Rattus norvegicus: one gene and its partners. The protein of the gene in region 2 interacts with the protein of the main gene of each other region in a pairwise test. Links are inferred from orthologs where the notes say so. Each region holds a gene or a part of one and is shown on either strand. Other genes may lie near its edges.

Region 1 (4,084 bases), on a different chromosome or scaffold from region 2:
CTCAGCATTTCCCAAGCCATATATATATATATTTAAAATTTTCCTTGTTAGTCTGGGTGCTAAAATAGTTTGTGTTAAAATTTAAGGGGCTGGGGATTTAGCTCAGCGGTAGAGCGCTTACCTAGGAAGCGCAAGGCTCTGGGTTCGGTCCCCAGCTCCGAAAAAAAGAACCAAAAAAAAAAAAATTTAAGGTTTGCTAATAGAAAAATATCTGATAGCTTGTTGTGTGCCAGACACAGTGCTATATACTGGGAATGTCTAAAGATCTTGACCTTATAGCATTTGTAATTCTATCAGAGAATAACAATATGTGATTATAGGCTTTAAAAGACTTTCAAAACTAATTTTTGTTCTATGTATAGGTGTATATGTATCCATGCAGTCCCCTCTGAGGCCAGAAGAGGGCATCAGATGCCTTGGAGCTAGAGTTAGAGGCAGTCTGAGCCAGCTGATGTGAGTACTGGCATTCTAATTCTGGTGATCTTTCATTTATTTATTTTAAGGTATGAGTACACTGTCACTCTCTTCAAAGACACCAGAAGAGGGCATCAGATCCCATTACAGATGGTTGTGACACACCATGTGGTTGCTGGGAATTGAACTCAGGACCTCTGGAAGAGCAGTCAATGTTCTTAACCACTGAGCCATCTCTCCAGCCCGCAGCAAGTATTCTTAACCACCAAACCATATTGACTTTTTAGGTGTTATGTATGATACATTAGGATAGATAGTTGGAGTGGAAGTAGTCCCTAGGGATTGAGACCAGAACCATGCTAAGCAAGTGTCCTACCACTGCATTAACTGCCCAATCCACAAAGTAGGCATCCAAAGAATACCTTTATAGCTAAATGTTTGCATGTCCATATTTTTTATTTGCTGGGAAGATTCTGTAAATTATGAGTTCTAAACCTAAGACTGCTTATTTGGAATTTAAAAGTATTTTTAGATAAATTTTAAATTCACAGCAAACTTTAGCTTAAAGTACAGAATTCTCATATGCTTCCTGGGGGCCCTCCTTCCCTATCCCCAATAATCTGAAGTGGTTTTGTTGTTTTCTTCTGGTGCTAAGGATCCGATCCCATCACTTCCCACATGTTAGGCGAGGCTTCACACATGCTTTTCTGGTCCTTTGATTTATATGAAAGTTTTCGAGGGACATAAAAAACAAACAAGAACTCTGACCTAATAAATTGAGTACATCAAGGCACAAGTATCGAAGAACTACGTTTCCCAGGGTGCAATGCAGCACGTCACAGAGAAGTACCCGGCATGCGCAGAGGAGTCCTCCGCGCTCGACCGCGCTCATAAGAGAAACAGCGTGTGTGGTTCTTGACGTGCCGCGAACCTTCGAACGTAAGTGCGGGACTATCGTGTGAGGAAACGTTCCAGTGATTCGCTCTTCCCGCCATCGCAGTTACCAGCGCGACGTGCTGTTTTTCCCTGGGCTCGGTAGGTGGGACGGGGCCATGGCAAGGTACCTCCACGCAGCGCGGGAACGAAAGGCCAGCGTTCCTGCCCGGCGCCCGGCTCTCTGAGGCGGCTTCTGCGGAAACGCGCACGCGCCCTGGACGGGGAAGGGGGCGGGCTGTGGGAGCCGGCGCCCTGGGGTTTGCGCGTGCGCCCTACATCTCTGGAGAGGTGGGAAGCCGCTGGAGCTGACTAGTCTAGAGGCCGGCACCTGGTGAGGTCCTTGGTCCCAGACATCAGCACAGTTTACTACTTTCTTATTGAGAGGGACACTGTAGCCCAGCCTGGCCGTGAGATCGCAGTCCTCCCTCAATCCCAAGTGCTGAGATTACAGACTCCACAGCCCTAAAGGTGTCCATTTTCACAACAGTAACTTCATCCACTCTGTAGCTCACTCATCTGTCGGCTGACACATGTATCCTAGGACGTCTGCGTCTACTCATTAGCACATTCACCTGCCTCTCTAGGGAGGCCTTGTCTCATGCTGTCTCACAGAAACAGCTCTGTCAAAGCCGCCTTGAGTTCTGGATTCCCAAGTTCAGTGATAATGGCTTGGTAGCATCCTCTTTCATTGCCTCGGTCCTCTCTTAACCTAAAGAACTCTTGCTTCCATTTCTTCATCTTTAATGCTCGTACCTTCAGAATACATAAACCCTAATCTTGCCTTTTTTCTGTTCACTCCCTGGGCATTGTCTATTTCACACTTTAAATAAATAAAATTTATTTTGGTGCACTCAACTTTCTTTTTTTTTTTTTTTTTTTTTTTTACATATTTTTAATAATTTTATATAGGTTCACTGGTGCTGTCTTCAGACACACCAGAAGAGGGCATCAGATCCCATTGCAGATGGTTGTGAGCCACTCTGTGGTTGCTGGGAATTGAACTCAGGACCTCTGGAAGAGCAGTCAGTGCTCTTAACCACTGAGCCATCTCTCCAGCCCTTGTTTTTTTTTTTTTTTTTTTTTTTAGAGACAAAGTTTCTCTGTCTAGCCCTGGTTGTCCTGGAACTCACTCTGTAGACCAAGCTGGCCTTGAAGTCAGAGATCCAGCTGCCTCCGCCTCCCAAGTACTGGTATTAGTGTGCAACCACTGCCAGCTTCCCCGGGTGATTTAGATGTCAAGTTAAAACTAGCCGTCATGTGCTTCAGTGCTTTTTCATCCCGAGAGTAAATACATGGGATGTGTGCATTGCATGCTGAAGGGGGTGCACTGGGAGCAATGCACTGGGAGGTGTTTATCCTAAGACAGGACACGGTGCTCTTACACAGCTTAGATTATCAGCCTACTACACACCAAGTCCACATGGCATAGCCTGCCACTCCATATGTAGCATGTTACTACAGCAAATACTATAAAGGTGGTTTCCACAAAATGAAAAGTATTTGAGTATCTATACAGAAACAGTTCAGTAAAATACTAGGTGAGGGCCAGTGAAGAGGCTCAGAGGGTAAAGGAAGTTGTCACTAAGCATGACAACCTAAGCATGACCCATGTGGTAAGAAGAAAACCAGTAAACACTGTGGCATATGTACACCCATACTCAATAAATAAATGTTTAATAAGAAATAATGGGGTGATGAAAGTGTTTTGGGTTTATAATCTCATACATCTTTTTGAGCATTATAATCTCATGGGACTACATCATGTTCAATCTTTTTTTTTTTTCTGATGTATTCTTTGGCATGTGGCTCTATTTGTTTAATATGTGTCCATTCTGCATTGTCCTTTCACTACTGCATATCCCTTATGTCTTAGGTAATTAGTAAATGCTGCTGAATGGAATTATGAAAGGGCATAATTTCTCTTTTCTGCATGGGGGAAGTAGGTAGTCTCTCACGGAAGATGTTAGTACTTAACATGGAGACAGAGGAGACCTTGAGTAGCTCAGCTTCAAACCCGTTTCAGTGTTCTAAGTTGAAAGACTGCTTGAAGGGTGTTCAGGACTCAGCTCCATTCAGCAACCTGATTTGACAGCAGTATGTGCCAAGGCCCGGCAGAACAGAAAGATATCTAGAGTAGCAGCCTGTATGCTCCATGCTTGTCATCTGGTAGGAGAGCTGTCAGTGAAGCAGTTCATCATTTACATGAGTGACAGGTGCAAGAACAGAAGTTTACTGTGAAGACTGAGGCTGGAGAAATGTGAGTTCAGTGTCAGCCTGAACTGCACAGTGAGACCCTGCCCCTAAAGCAATAAAAGAAGCTTGGTATGGTGGCACGCACCTTTTAATCCCAGCACGGGGGAAGCAGAGGCAGATGAATCTCTGGGAGTTCCAGGTGTAAATTCCAGGGCAGTTTGAGTTGCATACTAAGACTGTGTCTCAAAACAACAATAAAAACATAACAAAACAAGAATAAAGTTTAAATGCAGTGCTTAGGCACTTTCCTGAAGTTGTGATTGGCCATAGACGAGGGCAAATGGAGGAGCCTGTGGCTGTTTGGGAGCTGTGTTGTCCTCCCCCAGCTTCATATGTAAATATCATGTTCTTGGGTTGCAATGTTGATAAGCTCAACTTGTTGAATTTTTTTTTTAATTTTTAAATTTTTATTTTTTGAGACAGGTTTCTCTCTATGTATAGCCCTGCCTGTCCTGGAACTTGTTCTGTAAACTAGGCTGTA
Region 2 (3,500 bases):
TGACATATTATGGAGATCAAGGCACTGATATATTATGAAGACCAAGGCACTGATGTATTAGGGAGACCAAGGCACTGATGTATTAGGGAGACCAAGGCACTGATGTATTATGGAGATCAAGGCACTGATATATTATGGAGACCAAGGCACTGATATATTATGGAGATCAAGGCACTGACGTATTATGGAGACCAAGGCACTGCTATATTATGGAGACCAAGGCACTGATGTATTAGGGAGACCAAGGCACTGATGTATTATGGAGACCAAGGCACTGACATATTATGAAGACCAAGGCACTGACGTATTATGGAGACCAAGGCACTGCTATATTATGGAGACCAAGGCACTGACGTATTAGGGAGACCAAGGCACTGCTATATTATGGAGACCAAGGCACTGATGTATTAGGGAGACCAAGGCACTGCTATATTATGGAGACCAAGGCACTGCTATATTATGGAGACCAAGGCACTGACATATTATGAAGACCAAGGCACTGACGTATTATGGAGACCAAGGCACTGCTATATTATGGAGATCAAGGCACTGATGTATTATGGAGATCAAGGCACTGATATATTATGGAGATCAAGGCATTGATATATTATGGAGATCAAGGCACTGACGTATTATGGAGACCAAGGCACTGATGTATTATGGAGATCAAGGCACTGATATATTATGGAGACCAAGGCACTGATACATCATTTCCTACAAAAGCACACAACTCACCACGTTGTCAGCCCAGTCAGCCAGCACTGTTGAGATATAGTTCACGGCGTTGAGAATCGCACAGTACCGAAAGCCCAGGGGCGCTCTAGTCTCCTCCTTCATCACCTGTGTCAACCGGATCCTAAAATCATCCACTAGGTCCTTCTGTAACTCCAGGAACTGCAGCTTCCGGGAGGCTGTGGGGAGATTTTTATACCTGTCTGTGGAGAAAGTAGACAAAATACAGGAGGGGATTAGATACTGTTCATCACAGTTGGTTTTCCCTAAATCTCTGCTTATGGCCTTTATGACAAAACCCAGCTGACCGTTTGCAAAATCTTAAGAAATCACACAGGAACATCGTGTCAGGACTCAGCCAACAGTATGCTCGAGATCCAGATGTGTACATTGCCATACAGAAATCATACCTCGTTTCTGAAAAAGCAAACTGTGTTTTAAAATAACTGTGCCTTAAATAAGAAGCTGTGTTGGTAGGTGAGGAGGGCTTAAGACAGGTCTCATGTAGCCCAGGCTGGCTTCAAATTTCCTGAGGCTATGAATAGCTCTGAACTCCTGATCCTCCAGCCTTTACCTCCAAAATCCTGATATTTGGGATTAAATATGTGCACTGCCATGTCTGGCTATCCTTTTTTAAAAAAAGTGTTTATTTTTCTAACAGTCAAAATGTGCAATTACTGATTGGGTAGGAGTGAAGGTCTTCAGGTTATCATGAAGCTCAAGAAGTGCATTGCCAGGGGAGGAGGGAAGCAATGAGGGCCCAGCGTGGCAGCATTGGGGATCTTGTGGCCCTGGACAGCTAGCAGTCTGCAGCAGGGAATGCGGACACTCCACACATGGCTCGAGAAGAGACCCTGTCACCTCAATTCTAAAACTACTGTACCATTCCACTCTCTTCTTCAAGTCCTGATAAACCAGTGCTAAGAAAGTGATATTTATTTAAGGTTTGGGTTAACACTAGACATAGTAGTGTGTACCTAGTCCCAGCTATGTGGAAAACCAAGGCAGGAAGATCATCTCAGAACAGGAGCTCAAGCCAGCTGGGCAACACAGTACACCGTCTCTCAAAGAAGAGTAAGTGGGCGCTTGAGAGATGGCTCAGAGGTTAAGAGCACTGCCTGCCATTGGAGAGATCGCTGGTTCAGTTCCCAGCACCCACATTGATAGCTTACAGTACTGTAATTCCCATCTCTAGGGGATCAAACACTCTTCTGAACTACACAGGCACTAGGAATGTATGTGGTACAGATAAAATGCAGGCAAAATACACATAAAGCTGAGAGTCTTAAAGTAAAAGGAGCTGGGGAGGAGGGGGCTCAGCTCACGACCCTCTGTAACTCCAGTTTCAGGGGCTCCAACACCTTCTTCTGGCCTCCATTGGCAATAGGCATGCATGTGGTGTACACACATTCACAGACACACACTCATACACATAAACTAAAAATAAGTCTGTAAAATTAGAGTAGTAAAATGAAACTTGAAAACCTATAACAAGAATGACACGCAAGGTCCTGGGTTCGGTCCCCAGCTCCGAAAAAAAGAAAAGAAAAAAAAAAAGAATGACAATGAGTTAAAAATTAACGCATTTTTATTTGTTTTTGTCCTGGACGTTCCCCTTCATGTATACACCAACGCTCACATTTTAAGGTGCTGTTGTTTGGAGACAGGGTCTCACAGTATGTCTAGGTGACCTGATTATTATGACTAGTACTATTTATTAATACTTATTGTTATTTTAGTATTTGAAACAAGATCTTACATCAGGGTGGCTGGGAACCCATATACCAGGATGATCTCAAAGCCACAAATGCTCCAGCCGTGCTTCCAGAGCGCTGGGATTAAAGGTGAGTGCTGCCACAGCTGGCTCAGTCGAAAGAGAGACTGTCGTAGAGTTTTAAGTTACTGTACGGCTGTCTATTAACTACTAAAAATATGAGTACATGTAGCGCGCACTACTGTTTAAGGTTTATTTTCATGTTCACGCGTCCTAGGTGCCTGAGGGGACCAAGCGGCCCCTGGATCCAGAGCTGGAGTGGGTGGGTTATGACTGGGGAGCTGGCCCGGCCTTCTGTAAGAACAGCAAGTGCTCGAATCTGCTGAGCGACCCCACCAGCCTCAAACTCACTGCAGACTTCTGCTGTTCATTCGTTTGCTTGGGTTTTCTGAGACAGGGTCTCATATATCCCAGGCTGACCAAAGTCACTTTAGAACTGAGACTGGCCTTGAGCTCAATCCTCCTGCTTCCACCTCACATGCTAGGTTGCAAGTGTGTTCACCCTTGCCCAGCTTAAAAACTTAATTCTAAATTAGCGTCGGATGTTAAAAGGCCAGTGCTTACCAGTTATAACCAGAAGCAGGGTCATAAAGACTTCCGCACAGTCTGGGACCTTCATTTCATCCACATCGGTGATGTCTTTATACTGGGATACCCAGGCAGCTTCTGATGAAAGCATTGAGTCCATTTTTTGAAGAGCAACTAAACGAAGAAAGAAAGAAAAGTCAGTCGAGGACTTATTTCTTCCTTCAATTATCAACTCACACTTTTTTAGGAACTCTACAAACCATCAATATCTTCTACTGGCTCCATATTCCAACATGTAGACTGTAATTCAAAACCAAAACAAACCAAAAAACCCCACCAAACAAACAAACAAACAAGTCTTGTGGAGAGAGGACTGTCTTTGAAAGTAATTCAGTACATCCTGTAAGAAAGACAAAACTCCAAAACCTCACACACCAAAACCAGACATTCCCAGGCAGTGGTGGGA
Region 3 (4,153 bases), on a different chromosome or scaffold from region 2:
CTTACCGGTGCTGCAGGGCCACTGTGCTTGTGAACCACAGCAGCTGTGGTTGTCTGCACAAGATCAAGCCAGTTAACATTGCAGCACAGAGACGGGAGAGGCTTATGAGCCCCTACCCTGAACTGAGGAGCTAGGAACAGCTGAATGTTTCTGGAGAAAAGAAAGTCCGTGTTTTTACAAGGTTGCAGCCCTTGACCGTTTGATCATGGTTCAGTGGATGGCCCTACTGCCACGAATAGATGGGCAGATTAGACTCGGTGGCGTATAAAAAAACAAAAAAGGAGGAAGTGAGGGTGGATGTAGGAGTTAAGGGGAGGAGGGTAAAGTAAATATGATTAAAATACATTGTGTGTGTGTATGAAATTCTCAAAGATGAATAAAAGTATAATTTAAATGTAAAAATTAGTTGGTGTTATTGTAAATGGGATAGGTTTATTACATGAAGAGCATGGTTATATATTATCTATTTGTGTTGTACGGAGTGATTTGAACTGTGTTTAAAACATGACACTTCCTTAACATTCTTCCATTGTTCTTAAATGTTATTTAACCGCATCGTTGTAAGTTACTGTATAATATTTCCAACTGGAAAGTTCAGACAATTGAAGGTAGGTACCTCGGAGCTAGGTCATGAGTACTGAGAAGAATTATGTAGAAAACTCAATTCAGCTTCTTCCCAGGACGGACTTCTATACTATAACTGATCTGGTTTTGATAAGCACCGTGGGAACTACTGATGTGTGCATTTAAAAACTGATTTATCATTGCAGTTAGGGGAACAGACAGGGAAAGAGGATTGTGGGAAAACACACAAAGAGGTAGCTGCTGAGTTGGGAGTAGGGTCCAGCTTGGTGGCTGGGCATTTAATACCAACTCATGGGTAGATGTACTGAGGCAGGCAGATATAGCAAATTTGAGACAAAAGCATGAATTTAAGGTCAGCCTGGGCAACTTAGTGAGACCCTGTCTCAAAAAGAAAAAAAAGTGAAGAGAGGGTCAGGTGTGGTATAGACCTAAAATCCTAGTATCACGGAGGCTGCGGCCAGTTATGTGTCAAGGCCCTGCCTCAAAACTCAAAAATGTTGGTACTAGGGTCTGTGCAAAACCAAACAAATTTGGGACTAGCAACCCTTGCTTGCAGCTGGAGACCGAGGAAATCCAGCTGGAAGAGGAGAAGAAAGATCTGCCAAGGCCTGGGCAGCCGGAAGGCCGAGCGACCAGCTGGGCTCAGGGCAGCAGCCGCTGGGTTGCATCTGCCGCTCCTGATGTTGCCTGGCAACCCGGCTGGCGCGCCGTTCGAACGGAAGCGACCGGCCAATCAGGAAGTCCGGGGCGAACCATTGCAGCGACGGGGACGGCGGGCTCACTTCCCTTTCCTCTGGGCCCTGGGGACGGTCTCCCGGCGGGATTGTGGGACGGCCGGGACCTCTCGCTCGGAAGAGCCGACCGGTCTCCACACGCTGTGACCTCCTCAGGTCCGCGGGGACCATCAGCTGTCAGCCTCTGCAGCCAGCGAGGAGCGGGATTCCTCCGGGCGTGGGCTGCGGGTGAGCATGGGGTAAGGGGGCGGGGGTCCTTAGGCAGTGTCCACGCATCAACCCGGGCAAGTGTTTCAGCATAGGGGGTCGACAGAGGAGAGCTCATGTCTAGTGTCCAGCCCAGGGGGGCCAGCAGAGAATCCAGGTTGTTCCACTGTCCCATCTTGCAGCCCCCGCTCCTAGCAAATCAGAGTACCCCACCGGCTTACTCTTTCAGGGGCCTATTGGGAGGACATGGCTCAGGGGATCTCCTGACTAGGCAACCCTGCCCTACCGGCCCTTGGAGTTCCCCTTCAGAATATAGTCTTTCCCTCCCCATTGGAAGCTTTCTGCCTAAAGAGTCTGGAGTTCCAGGGCTTCCCGCTTTGAGGGCCCTCCTTGGGGGGAAGGGGCGGGGCAGGGTGGATTCCCTAGGACTACAGATCCAAAGGCTCTGGAAGTCATGTGGGTCTGTGCGCGCCCGCCCGCCTGCGCTTGTATGCATTGGAGGTGCCTCTAAGCCAGAGTTGCTGGAATTGGACTTTAGAGTTGGGTGCAGGGTCAGGCCCTCCCAAGTGGAGCATCTAATTTAGGCTGTACTTTTATCTACTCTCCTGCTGTTGATCTTCTTTCGTAGGTGGGGAATCTGAGGTTCTGAGAAGTTGAGGCTCTTGCTCAAAGTCACAGACTTAACTATGCAATCGTCTTCAGTTCTTGATACAGGGAATCGCCCATTCGATGAAGGATCTCTCCTGAGGGGAACTACCCTTTCTCTGAGCCTCATTCTGGCCCTGGAGGAGCTGTGTTTGTCCATCTGTGTTTGTCCATCTGTGTTTGTGTCATGCTCCCCACCCTAACTTTTGTATGGCCCTAGCTGGCCTCATTCTTACTATTTATACCAGGCTGGTCTTGAACTCTCCATCTTCCTAAATCAGCGTCCTCTGATGACAAGCGTGTGCCACCTGCACACCAGTTTTATGCCTTTTCAGGATAGAACCCAGGGCTTGGTTTCTGCTAAGCGAGCGTCTACTAGATGAGTTATACCGCTGCCTCATTTCTTTCCACATCGTCAAGCTTCCTGTAGCCTGGTCCCTCCCTGAGTGTCCTGCTTTTCTCAGTAGCGTCTGTTCCATATTATGCACGAGGTATCTTATTAGGCGGTTTATTATCTTCCCCAGTGGAATGTGTCAGGCACGTGAGATGCTTAACACGGGCACAAATTATCAGGGTGCCCCAAACTTGCAGACTCAAGATGATCAAAGCCAACATCTGTTGGCCATTTGGTGTGTATTGTACTGGGGGGGGGGGTGGAGCAGGATAGGGTGGTGTCACTCAGGTGGACTCTGGCCAGCAGAGCCAGCATAGGCACTGTTAATACACACACACACACACACACACACACACACACACACACACACACACACACACTCACTCCCCCATCCAGCTACCTCACTCTATGCAAAATGACAGGTGCTGTGGACAGACACAGAGTGGCCATCAGTAGGGACTGATGGGAAATAATCAGAAACTCCTTAGATACTCATGCGGCACCAAGAGGAACGTGGATTACTGAGCAAAGGGTCTGGGTGGGAATTATATACACAGCACGATGGGCATCGCAGTCAATCCTAATCGTGGACTGTGGGTCAACTAATTGAGAAGCCACAGACAGTGATTACATTTGCAGAAAGTTATGAGGTCACTGCCCTACCTGTGGTTTGTCATTGGCTTTGTGAGTTTGGGCAAGTTTCTTCACATTCTGAGCTGTGAGTTCAAGCCAAGGCAGAAGGCACTGTAGGACAGGAAGTGGGTGTGGCCACAGGCCTAATTCAAGCCTCACCTTCCCTTCAGTGTCAGGCCCTTCCCTAAGGCCTTGTTTGTTAGTCTTTCTCCCTCTCTCCCTCTCTCCTTCACTGCAAGTCTGCCTTTGTTCCCATCTTGTCAGGGTGCAAACTGAGCCCCAGACTTTGTTAGTGGAGAGTGTTTGGGGGAAGGATTCATGCAGGAGCTCACTGTCCTAGGCATCCCTGCCCCTCCCATGGCGGCCCACTTGTAACTCTCTTCCTGAGATTTGTGCAAAGCTACTCTGAGCAAGGCTGACTCCTGGGCAGGCCAGGGCATGAGCCTGGTGAAAACTCCAGAAATAGCTTGGAACCTGGCCTGCCCTGGAGAATGCCCGGTCGGGTGTCTGACCTGGACAGCTGTGTTGGCTCTTCCCCACTGTCCGGAACCTTCTTGATCCTCTTCTGCAGCAGCCAGAGGCCTCCCTGGCTACCAAACCTGAGCCAGGACAGAAAAGCAGGTGGGGCGGATAAACTATCATAAAATGATCAACCCTAGAAATCTACTGGGAAGAGGGGACACACAACTGCCTGGGCTTGGAACCCTTGTCCCGGGCTGAGAACTTTACCAGTGTGAGCTCTGATTTCCCTCCACTCTGCGAAATGAGGGATTTCTGCTTTTATTTCATGGATACATATGCTACAGCAGGCACTCGAGAAGACACTTAGAGGAGTCAGTTCTCCCATTCCACTGTGGGGCCAGGGGACTGAACTCGGATCACTAGGCTTGCATGGCAAGTACTTTTACCCCAAGTCATCTCCCTCGCCCTAACTTTACCAGTCATTTCCCACTCT
Region 4 (3,655 bases), on a different chromosome or scaffold from region 2:
CACTGCACATACACTATACACATACATATTGCACATACATACACTGCATACATACTGTATACACACTGAACACACATACTGCACACACATTGCACACATACTGCATACATACATACTACACATACAGCACACATACTGCACACTTATACTGCACACACACTCATACTGCACACACACACTACACACCACACACACACACACACACACACACACACACAGCCACAACACAATGAAGAGTTAGGCATGAGATAAGGAAGGGTGAAAACAATCTCAGAAGTTCTAGGTGTACTCAGCAGTATACCCCAGCTGACCCACAAAATGGGTGTCTGCCCATTTGTTGCATGAGAAGACAGGTAAACTTTCTAGTAAGTCTGTAGGACCTTGGACAAGTTGCTTTACATATCATGACAATAATGTCTAACTTAAAGTCTTGTAAAAAAAATTAAAAGCCTTTCAAGTAATAAAAATGGGGCAGGACTTCCTCAGTAACTATTTTGAGAGAAATAGAGTAGATTGAAACTTACCTACCCTAACCCAAGAAGCTTTGATTCTTATTCTTTCTTTACCCTAGGATGTGGTCTTTGGGGATTAGTATCTGTGTTTTGTGGGGTTTCTTTCATAGCTAAAGTGGGGGAAATAATGCATGTACTCTCCACCTAACATTTTTGGAAAGATCAGATGAAGTAATGTATGGTAGCATTGTGAAGCTGACAGGTCAAAATCCCAAGTGTCAAGGGAGATACGCACCTCAGTTAAACAAGTTGCCCAAAGTCACACAACTCTTTATCCTAGACATAAGATGCAGGCATTTCCAGTTACTTATAGGCTCCAGATTTCAAGAACCCAGCAATTTTGCCTTCAACTCACTATCAGGGGTGCCACTCCACGGTCAGTAGTACCCAAAGTGCCCCAAGGATGCACTTGGGGGAGCCTACTAGACCAAGGTGCCGTGAAGGAATTAGAGTTAAGGGCACTCCAGTCTTCAGAAACCTCCTCCCTTTCTTCCTGGCCTTCTGCCTGTCACAGTCTCTTCTGTGCTCCCTACGGCTCATGTACAAAGTCCCACAATGCTGCCTTTCTCAACAACACACAGGGAACTCAAGGATCTGCAAACAACCCTCCCCAGCCCTAGGTCTCGCCATTTATCCTGCAGACCCATACCCCCAGCACTGCAGAGATGAGTCTGGCTATACGTCTGCTAGTGTGCAGAGAACAGAAGGGCACGCTGACCTGTGGACAGGGTATGAGGAGGCAAAGCACAGGTCCCAGGAGAGCAAGACCAGAGGGCTCCCCAGGACAGGGCTCGCCAGCTTGGAACAGGAGCTCTGGGCTCCTAGTGAAAACTCGGAGATCAAGGCCAGCCCTGGACAGCCTCTGAGGCTACTCTAAGTGAGCTCTGCGACTTCCTGGCAGGCTGGGTGTAGCTTGGTCGCCTTGACCACCAGAGGGAGAAACCTTGGGAACATTGGCTCAGGACGCTGTACCCTGAAGTAACAAACCGCCTTGCTCCCTGGCAGTCACTTTCCTTGACCTGGGGATTCTGGGAACATGCTTGCCCAGAGCCCTAAAGGTGCACCCCCACCAACACCATACCTTACTATTCTAAATACGTATCTCAAGCCAAAATTGCTAACGAGGTTGGAGAAACGGGTAAAGAGGAAGACAGTGGTGGAGCTGAAGGAGCTGAGCCAGCAAATCCAAGAAACTAAATGCCGGCGGGAAAGGCTGCTGACGGACAGCAGGCAGCTACTAGAAGAAAAATACCGCGTGCAGGCCGAAAACCAGCTTTTCACGGAATACTTGCGTAAAAATAAGGAACAGTGTGAAAAGAAACAGGAGGAGCTGTGGAAGCAGTACATCCAAGAATGTGGCGAGATAGAACGAGAGAGGCAAGAATTGGCGTCCAGATACAACCAGAGAAATGCAGCTCTTCAAGCCCAGCTCCTGCAGGGCAGAAAGACCCAGAAGGATTTGAAGCAGCAGTTGCAGGCCCTGAAGCCAATTTACAAAGTAAAGGAGGGCCAGGACATGAAAATACAGAGCTTGGAGCAGGAGCAAGAGAAAGTCCGAGGTGAGACTGCGGCCAAGGACCAGAAGGCACACTTCCGGTTCCTGCAGGAAAAGGCATTGATGGAGAAGGAGCTGGAAGACCTGCACCTGATGGAGCTGGGGCAGATCAACACCACGGGGCTTACGAGGAAGTACAAGGCCTTGGCTCTAGCAGCCAAGCAGGCTCATTCTGAGTTCTGTGGCAGCCTCCACAGGGAGAACCAGCAGCTACGCAAGGAGCTTCAGCAACTGAGCCAGGAGTACCGCAGGGTGGAAGCTGTGAGGAATCAGCTGGAAAAGCACCGGAGGCTGATGAAAGAGCAGCGGTGGTACCTAGAAGCCTTGACCAGAGGGCGGCAGCGGCTGCAGGCAGAACGCGAACGCCATCACCGTCGTCACAACCCGTGCCTCAAGGAACAGAGAACTTCAAAGACCATGCTGAGCACCAAATCAAAAACAAGTTTAAAGTAAGAGCTACTACAACTGAACTGGAGCACAGGGAATAACTACAATCCAGAAAGTATCCTTCGTGGAGACTAGAAACGCTTGCACGAAGGGCGGTTGACGCAGCATGGGCTGTGCTCCTAGCCTGGGACCCAGGTCGTGGCTGTCCGTGTCCCTGGGGCTGCGTACACTCAGAGATTTAGAACAGTTGGAAATTTTGTAATGGGTTACACCACCCACTTTTATAGTAGCATTTGAAATCCTCAGATTACCCACTTAGGGCATATATTTTTACCACGCTTATTTTTTTCTTAGTGTGTACTCTGCAGTCCACAAAGTACGGTGTATAACCTGTACATTCTATGTATTTTGGGCCATATGAAGCAAATAGGAATCTTAAATTGTAGGGTTTTTGTTTGTTTAGAAGGGTCGCACGTTTGCATTTATGGTGGACTGTTTTGTTGAACTGTGGGTTCTGGTCTGGAAGAATGGTCTTGTATTTGGGTGATGCCCCTGCATAGGGAAAAGACATAGCCAGCTTCACGTTTCTCAGAAATTATTGGTAATGAAAACTTCGAGGGCACTCTTCAGAATTTTCTGCTTTTTTTATATGTAAAATAGGTTCTTTTTAAATAGGATTAAAAGGTGACTTAGCTTTTCAATGTGCCTTATCACCATCATCATCTTTTAGCATTGCTGGTGAATACATATACTTTACAGTTAAACAGTGTTGTTAAAACAAAATTTACCTGTAATTAGTTCTTAATACCCCTCCAGATTTATAAGTACAACAAAAATACTATATCCCTCAATGTTTTATTATACTACTGCCACCCTTTTGAAGTGATAGAACAAGCATGTGATGAGGTACAGCAGGCCAATAACATAAGCACCATGACTCGGGGTGAGGCCACTACGTCAGTGGCTAACGGGTGGGTAGTGTATAAAACATGGACGCTCTGGGCAAGGATGATTTGTGACCCTTATGTGATGGTACAAGGTCTCACCACACTACTCAGACACATGAAATATGCGAATCGTTTCTTTCCAGAATTTTCCATTTGATTTTGGACTGAAACTGAACACAGATAACTGAAAGGTAGGGAGGGAAGCCTGGGTAAGGGGAGTTGCCACGGTGCCAATCCAGGCCCCCTACTTTGCC
Region 5 (3,997 bases), on a different chromosome or scaffold from region 2:
AACATATTCAAGCTTAAAGCATTTTCAACATTTAGCATCAGTTACATTTAGAAAAGTCCTAAAAGTTCAAAACCACATATAAGATACGCTATTGTCATTTACTCCACATTTTGGGGATAGAACGAGGTGATCTGTGGGTAAGAGCAGCAGCGATGTCTCCTCCTTCCAAACATCCATGTTCTATTTTACTCAACATGTGTGAGCTGAAACCTAAAATCTGTGTTTTCTCAAATAAAATGCCTGACATTTTATCAGACACATGATCGTTACGGAAAGTGCAGCACCCAGCATTCTGTGGTGTGTTTTTAGTTCTAGCGACATCCCTTTCTGTTCCCACTGCACCTCCATCCAACACCTCACACTTCTAATCTTGCTCCTGGCTAGAAATTAGAGCCCACAAGCTTCATCTGTGCATTAAACAAGAGCTGAAGCTTTGAAGCTTTTAAGTTCTACCTCGTGTTGAAGGGGCTTATCTGCCTCATTCTGAACCAGTTATTTCTAATTCAGTCAAAGCTCTTGGTGTAACTAACTCAGGTTTCTGGGTTTTTCGGCTTCTTGTTTATCAGACTAAAATTTATTTCCAATTTCTGAATTTACAGCAATTTATGTAAAAATGGTTCAATGGTTCTGAAATTCTTCTCACCTTTATTCTGTACATTTTGACTAACTTTAACCTCCGAAGAAGGTCTTCCTTCTCTTGAACCTGCCTAGTCAGTTTTGCTTTTTCTTCCTTCAAAGTTTGCTTTATAGTCTTCTCAGTAGAATCTTTTTGGAGGACACTGGATGACCCAGTATCAAGTGACTTAGATTCACTCGTATTTTTATCCTCTGAGCTCTCTTTTTCAGGTTCATTGTCTTTGTTTTCCAGGCTTTCTTGGGCTTTTGAACAGTTTTCTTCTTTTGAAGATTCTCCTGGTTCTGAAAGGGTCTGATCATTTTCTTCATTCTCTACCTTAATACGCTTCACCACACTACAAAAAGGTTGAGATGAAGCTCTTGCTTTCTTTAATCTTTCTTTAAGTGTCCCACTCATAGGCTGAAAAAGACACAAAACATCAAATGTTAAGAATATATTCTTGGGGCTGGGGATTTAGCTCAGTGGTAGAGCGCTTACCTAGGAAACACAAGGCCCTGGGTTCGGTCCCCAGCTCCGAAAAAAAGAACCAAAAAAAAAAAAAAAAAAAAAAAAAAAAAGAATATATTCTTGAAGTACATCAATGTATTCGAAACAAAGTCTGTACGCTTCTATGGTAGGTACAATGGGTTGCTTTTGGTCTCCAAAAACCTCAAGTGGGCATCACCAATGTATCTAAGTTCCAGAGGCTACCTTTAGTCTTGCTTTAGCAAGGTTACCGTCATTGGCAGCTAGTATTTGCCTGACAATACTAGAAACAGAAATGTCTCAGAACTATAAACTAAGGAGAAGACCTGCTACCAAAGACTTCCCCCTGAAATACGGTACAGATATGTTTCCTTGGTTTGGAGCATCTCAGTAACCTGGTAAGAAATTAAACGAAATGAACTGATTCAAGAAGAAAATCTGGCAGTTAGCAAGGTATGGGCTATATATTAACTCACACTCCAGTATCCTTAGAACTGCCACTATTGGAATACTTTGAAACACAGGACAGATGGGGGTAAAGGACAACACAAAATTTTCATACTTGTTTTCCTGAACTATTCGAATGGAGTGATGGTGGATTTTCACTGGTCTGAGGCTTGTCAGGTGAGGTTGGGGGTGATGGTGGATTCTCACTGGTCTGAGGAATGTCAGGTGAAGTGGATGCTGAATCTGAGGGGTTTTCCATCTTGGAAGTGATCTCCTGATTTCCTTCTAGAAAGGGAAAGACACGAGAATGATAAATTAATTATCTCAAAACAGACCTCAATTTTTTCAACAAAATTTTCTTCAGTGAACTAAACACCAAAAAAGTCAGCAATTTCTTCCAATTATTTGTACCTGTAATTTATTCTAATTCTTTTCATATTCTTTCCATTTACTTCTCCACATGGGGAGTAACCAAATTTTGTTTCTTTCACGACAAATAAACCGGCTAGTATCTTATTGACACTCATTTTTCTCCTTCAAAACATCTCCAAAAATTTGGATTTCGGGGAAGGGAACTAACTCTACGTAGTCAAGAATTTTAATCTTTGTTATAATTTCGTAAATAAAAGCGATACAGTCCGAATCTTGAATCCTAAAAGCTTTGTGCCTAGAAGAATGAGTCCCAAGGAGCCAGAAAGCAGCGTCGGCCCCTTTTGGTTTTCTAGGGTCAGGGCCTCTGCCTTCCTCCCCCGCCCTATCTTTTCCACCAAGCCCCGCCTTCTCCGCCCCGCCCCCTCCGCCCCGCCCCTCACCCCCCACCACAGAAAGCCCTCCCCCCTCATTCTCCCTTCTCTACTCCCTCCCCCGCACCCTCCCCTCACCCTCCCACCACAGAAAGCCATCCCCCCTCATTCTCCCTTCTCTACTCCCTCCCCCGCCCCCTCACCACAGAAAGCGCTCTCCCGCTGCTCCCTCCCGCGCTCTTTTTTCTAAGCCCAGTCCCCCTCCTTCTCCTCTCCCTCCCCCTCTCCTCCACCTCCCTCACCATAGAAAGCCCTCTACCCTACAGAGCAGGAAGTCGAGCCCCCGCGACGCCGGGAAGAGCTTCTCTATCAGATATGCAGACACCCGCAGGCCTGACGCGCAGACCAGCCCCAGGGAGAAAGCTCAATACCTTCCTCAGCCATGCTCACAGCAGACACAGCGTACACAACCAGCGTAGCGCCCGGAGTACACTGACCTCGCCCCGGGGGCGGAGCCCCACCGGAGGAGAGACGTGCGATTGGCTAGCTTGACCGTAGCGGGCGGATGTGCTTTGTCCAATTCCGACTACGCGTGCGCGTAGGCCCACGAGCCTCAGCCACGGGGCGGGGCGGGACCAGGGGGGAGGCGGGCGCGGCTCGTGATTGGCAGGACTGGCCGGCGCGCTCCAGGGCTCGGCCACGCGCGCAAGGCCGCCAGGCTAAGGGTGGCTTCCAAGGCAAAAAATAGTGTCAGGCCTTTGGACGGGCCTGAGGGGGGCGCGCTTCCGCTCGCCACTTCCTACGAGGGTTGCTGTGCCAGCCGCCTTCCCAAGCAGCTTCCCTTGGGGGAAGGGAGAGGGGTGCATCCTCTGGGTAATGGGCCTGAGAGCACCGCCCCCGCGCGCCCGCCCCCTGGCAGTCTCCGCTTTCACAACAGCAGAGGCTTTTCCTCAGACGTGGCAGGACCGGAAGCCGCGGGGCCCGTTTGGCTCCCTGCTGGCGAACGCTTCCTTAGCCTTTTGTGGTCTGTTTGGAAGCCAGCTTGATAGGAATCTATCCCGGCGTCTCTGCACGTGCAGTAGAGAGCATCTCCAGCTTGCTTTGCAGTCTCGCCCCTTTATTTTGGTCTATGCCCACTGGCTTCACTTGTTTTGGTCCAATCTGAGAAAATGTAACCTAAGGAAGTGTATTATGGCGCAGGACAGGAAGCGGGACTGTCGATCCGATCGGGTCGGTCTAGCATCCAGAAGTTTGAGAACTAGATCCCGGGGTGCCCCTAGGAGGCCCCTTGCTAGACGCTGGGGAGCCCCTGGGAGGCCCCTTGCTAGACCCTGGCTCGACTCCTGGGAGGCCCCTAAGAGGCCCCTTGCTAGACCCTGGCTCGACTCCTGGGAGGCCCCTAGGAGGCCCCTTGCTAGACGCTGGGGAGCCCCTGGGAGGCCTCTGGCTAGACCCTGAGAGGCTGCAACGCCTTCTGGTGTTAGGGATGTTCTGTTGCTATGCAACAGCAAAGTGAACTAGCTTGGGTGGAGCACTGGGTGTAGAGAAGTCAGCTGAGTAACCTGTGAGTCACTGGGAAGTTTGTGAGAGAGGACAAATCTCTTTCCGAATATCTGCTAATGGTGGCTTTAAAGTAATCCGAAAGAAGTGGTCGGAATCCTACGCAGTCAGTTATAAATACAGAACCTAACGAAACTTTTGGAGG

The links.
Region 1: the proteins of Rint1 (region 2) and Sgf29 interact in binary tests that used the Homo sapiens proteins (3 or more experiments, as listed by UniProt). The two-hybrid records come from large-scale screens. The link is inferred for Rattus norvegicus from reciprocal best matches to the Homo sapiens genes RINT1 and SGF29.
Region 3: the proteins of Rint1 (region 2) and Fam110a interact in binary tests that used the Homo sapiens proteins (3 or more experiments, as listed by UniProt). The two-hybrid records come from large-scale screens. The link is inferred for Rattus norvegicus from reciprocal best matches to the Homo sapiens genes RINT1 and FAM110A.
Region 4: the proteins of Rint1 (region 2) and Ccdc121rt1 interact in binary tests that used the Homo sapiens proteins (3 or more experiments, as listed by UniProt). The two-hybrid records come from large-scale screens. The link is inferred for Rattus norvegicus from reciprocal best matches to the Homo sapiens genes RINT1 and CCDC121.
Region 5: the proteins of Rint1 (region 2) and Sfr1 interact in binary tests that used the Homo sapiens proteins (3 or more experiments, as listed by UniProt). The two-hybrid records come from large-scale screens. The link is inferred for Rattus norvegicus from reciprocal best matches to the Homo sapiens genes RINT1 and SFR1.

The regions. Positions count from the first base shown.
Region 1 is NC_086019.1:190,667,744-190,671,827, forward strand, and holds the start of Sgf29 (SAGA-associated factor 29), read left to right. Parts: upstream 1-1,284; 5' UTR 1,285-1,449; intron 1,450-4,084. UniProt on the Homo sapiens protein: Chromatin reader component of some histone acetyltransferase (HAT) SAGA-type complexes like the TFTC-HAT, ATAC or STAGA complexes.
Region 2 is NC_086022.1:12,224,118-12,227,617, forward strand, and holds part of Rint1 (RAD50-interacting protein 1), read right to left. Parts: intron 3,209-3,500; coding exon 3,071-3,208; intron 936-3,070; coding exon 736-935; intron 1-735. UniProt on the Homo sapiens protein: Involved in regulation of membrane traffic between the Golgi and the endoplasmic reticulum (ER); the function is proposed to depend on its association in the NRZ complex which is believed to play a role in SNARE assembly at the ER.
Region 3 is NC_086021.1:160,942,606-160,946,758, reverse strand, and holds the start of Fam110a (protein FAM110A), read left to right. Parts: upstream 1-1,353; 5' UTR 1,354-1,547; exon of another isoform or gene 1,548-3,797; intron 3,798-4,153.
Region 4 is NC_086031.1:95,784,968-95,788,622, reverse strand, and holds Ccdc121rt1 (coiled-coil domain containing 121, retrotransposed), read left to right. Parts: upstream 1-1,487; 5' UTR 1,488-1,548; coding exon 1,549-2,520; 3' UTR 2,521-3,155; downstream 3,156-3,655.
Region 5 is NC_086019.1:256,559,336-256,563,332, reverse strand, and holds the start of Sfr1 (swi5-dependent recombination DNA repair protein 1 homolog), read right to left. Parts: upstream 2,801-3,997; 5' UTR 2,737-2,800; coding exon 2,724-2,736; intron 1,835-2,723; coding exon 1,665-1,834; intron 1,037-1,664; coding exon 644-1,036; intron 1-643. UniProt on the Homo sapiens protein: Component of the SWI5-SFR1 complex, a complex required for double-strand break repair via homologous recombination. Acts as a transcriptional modulator for ESR1.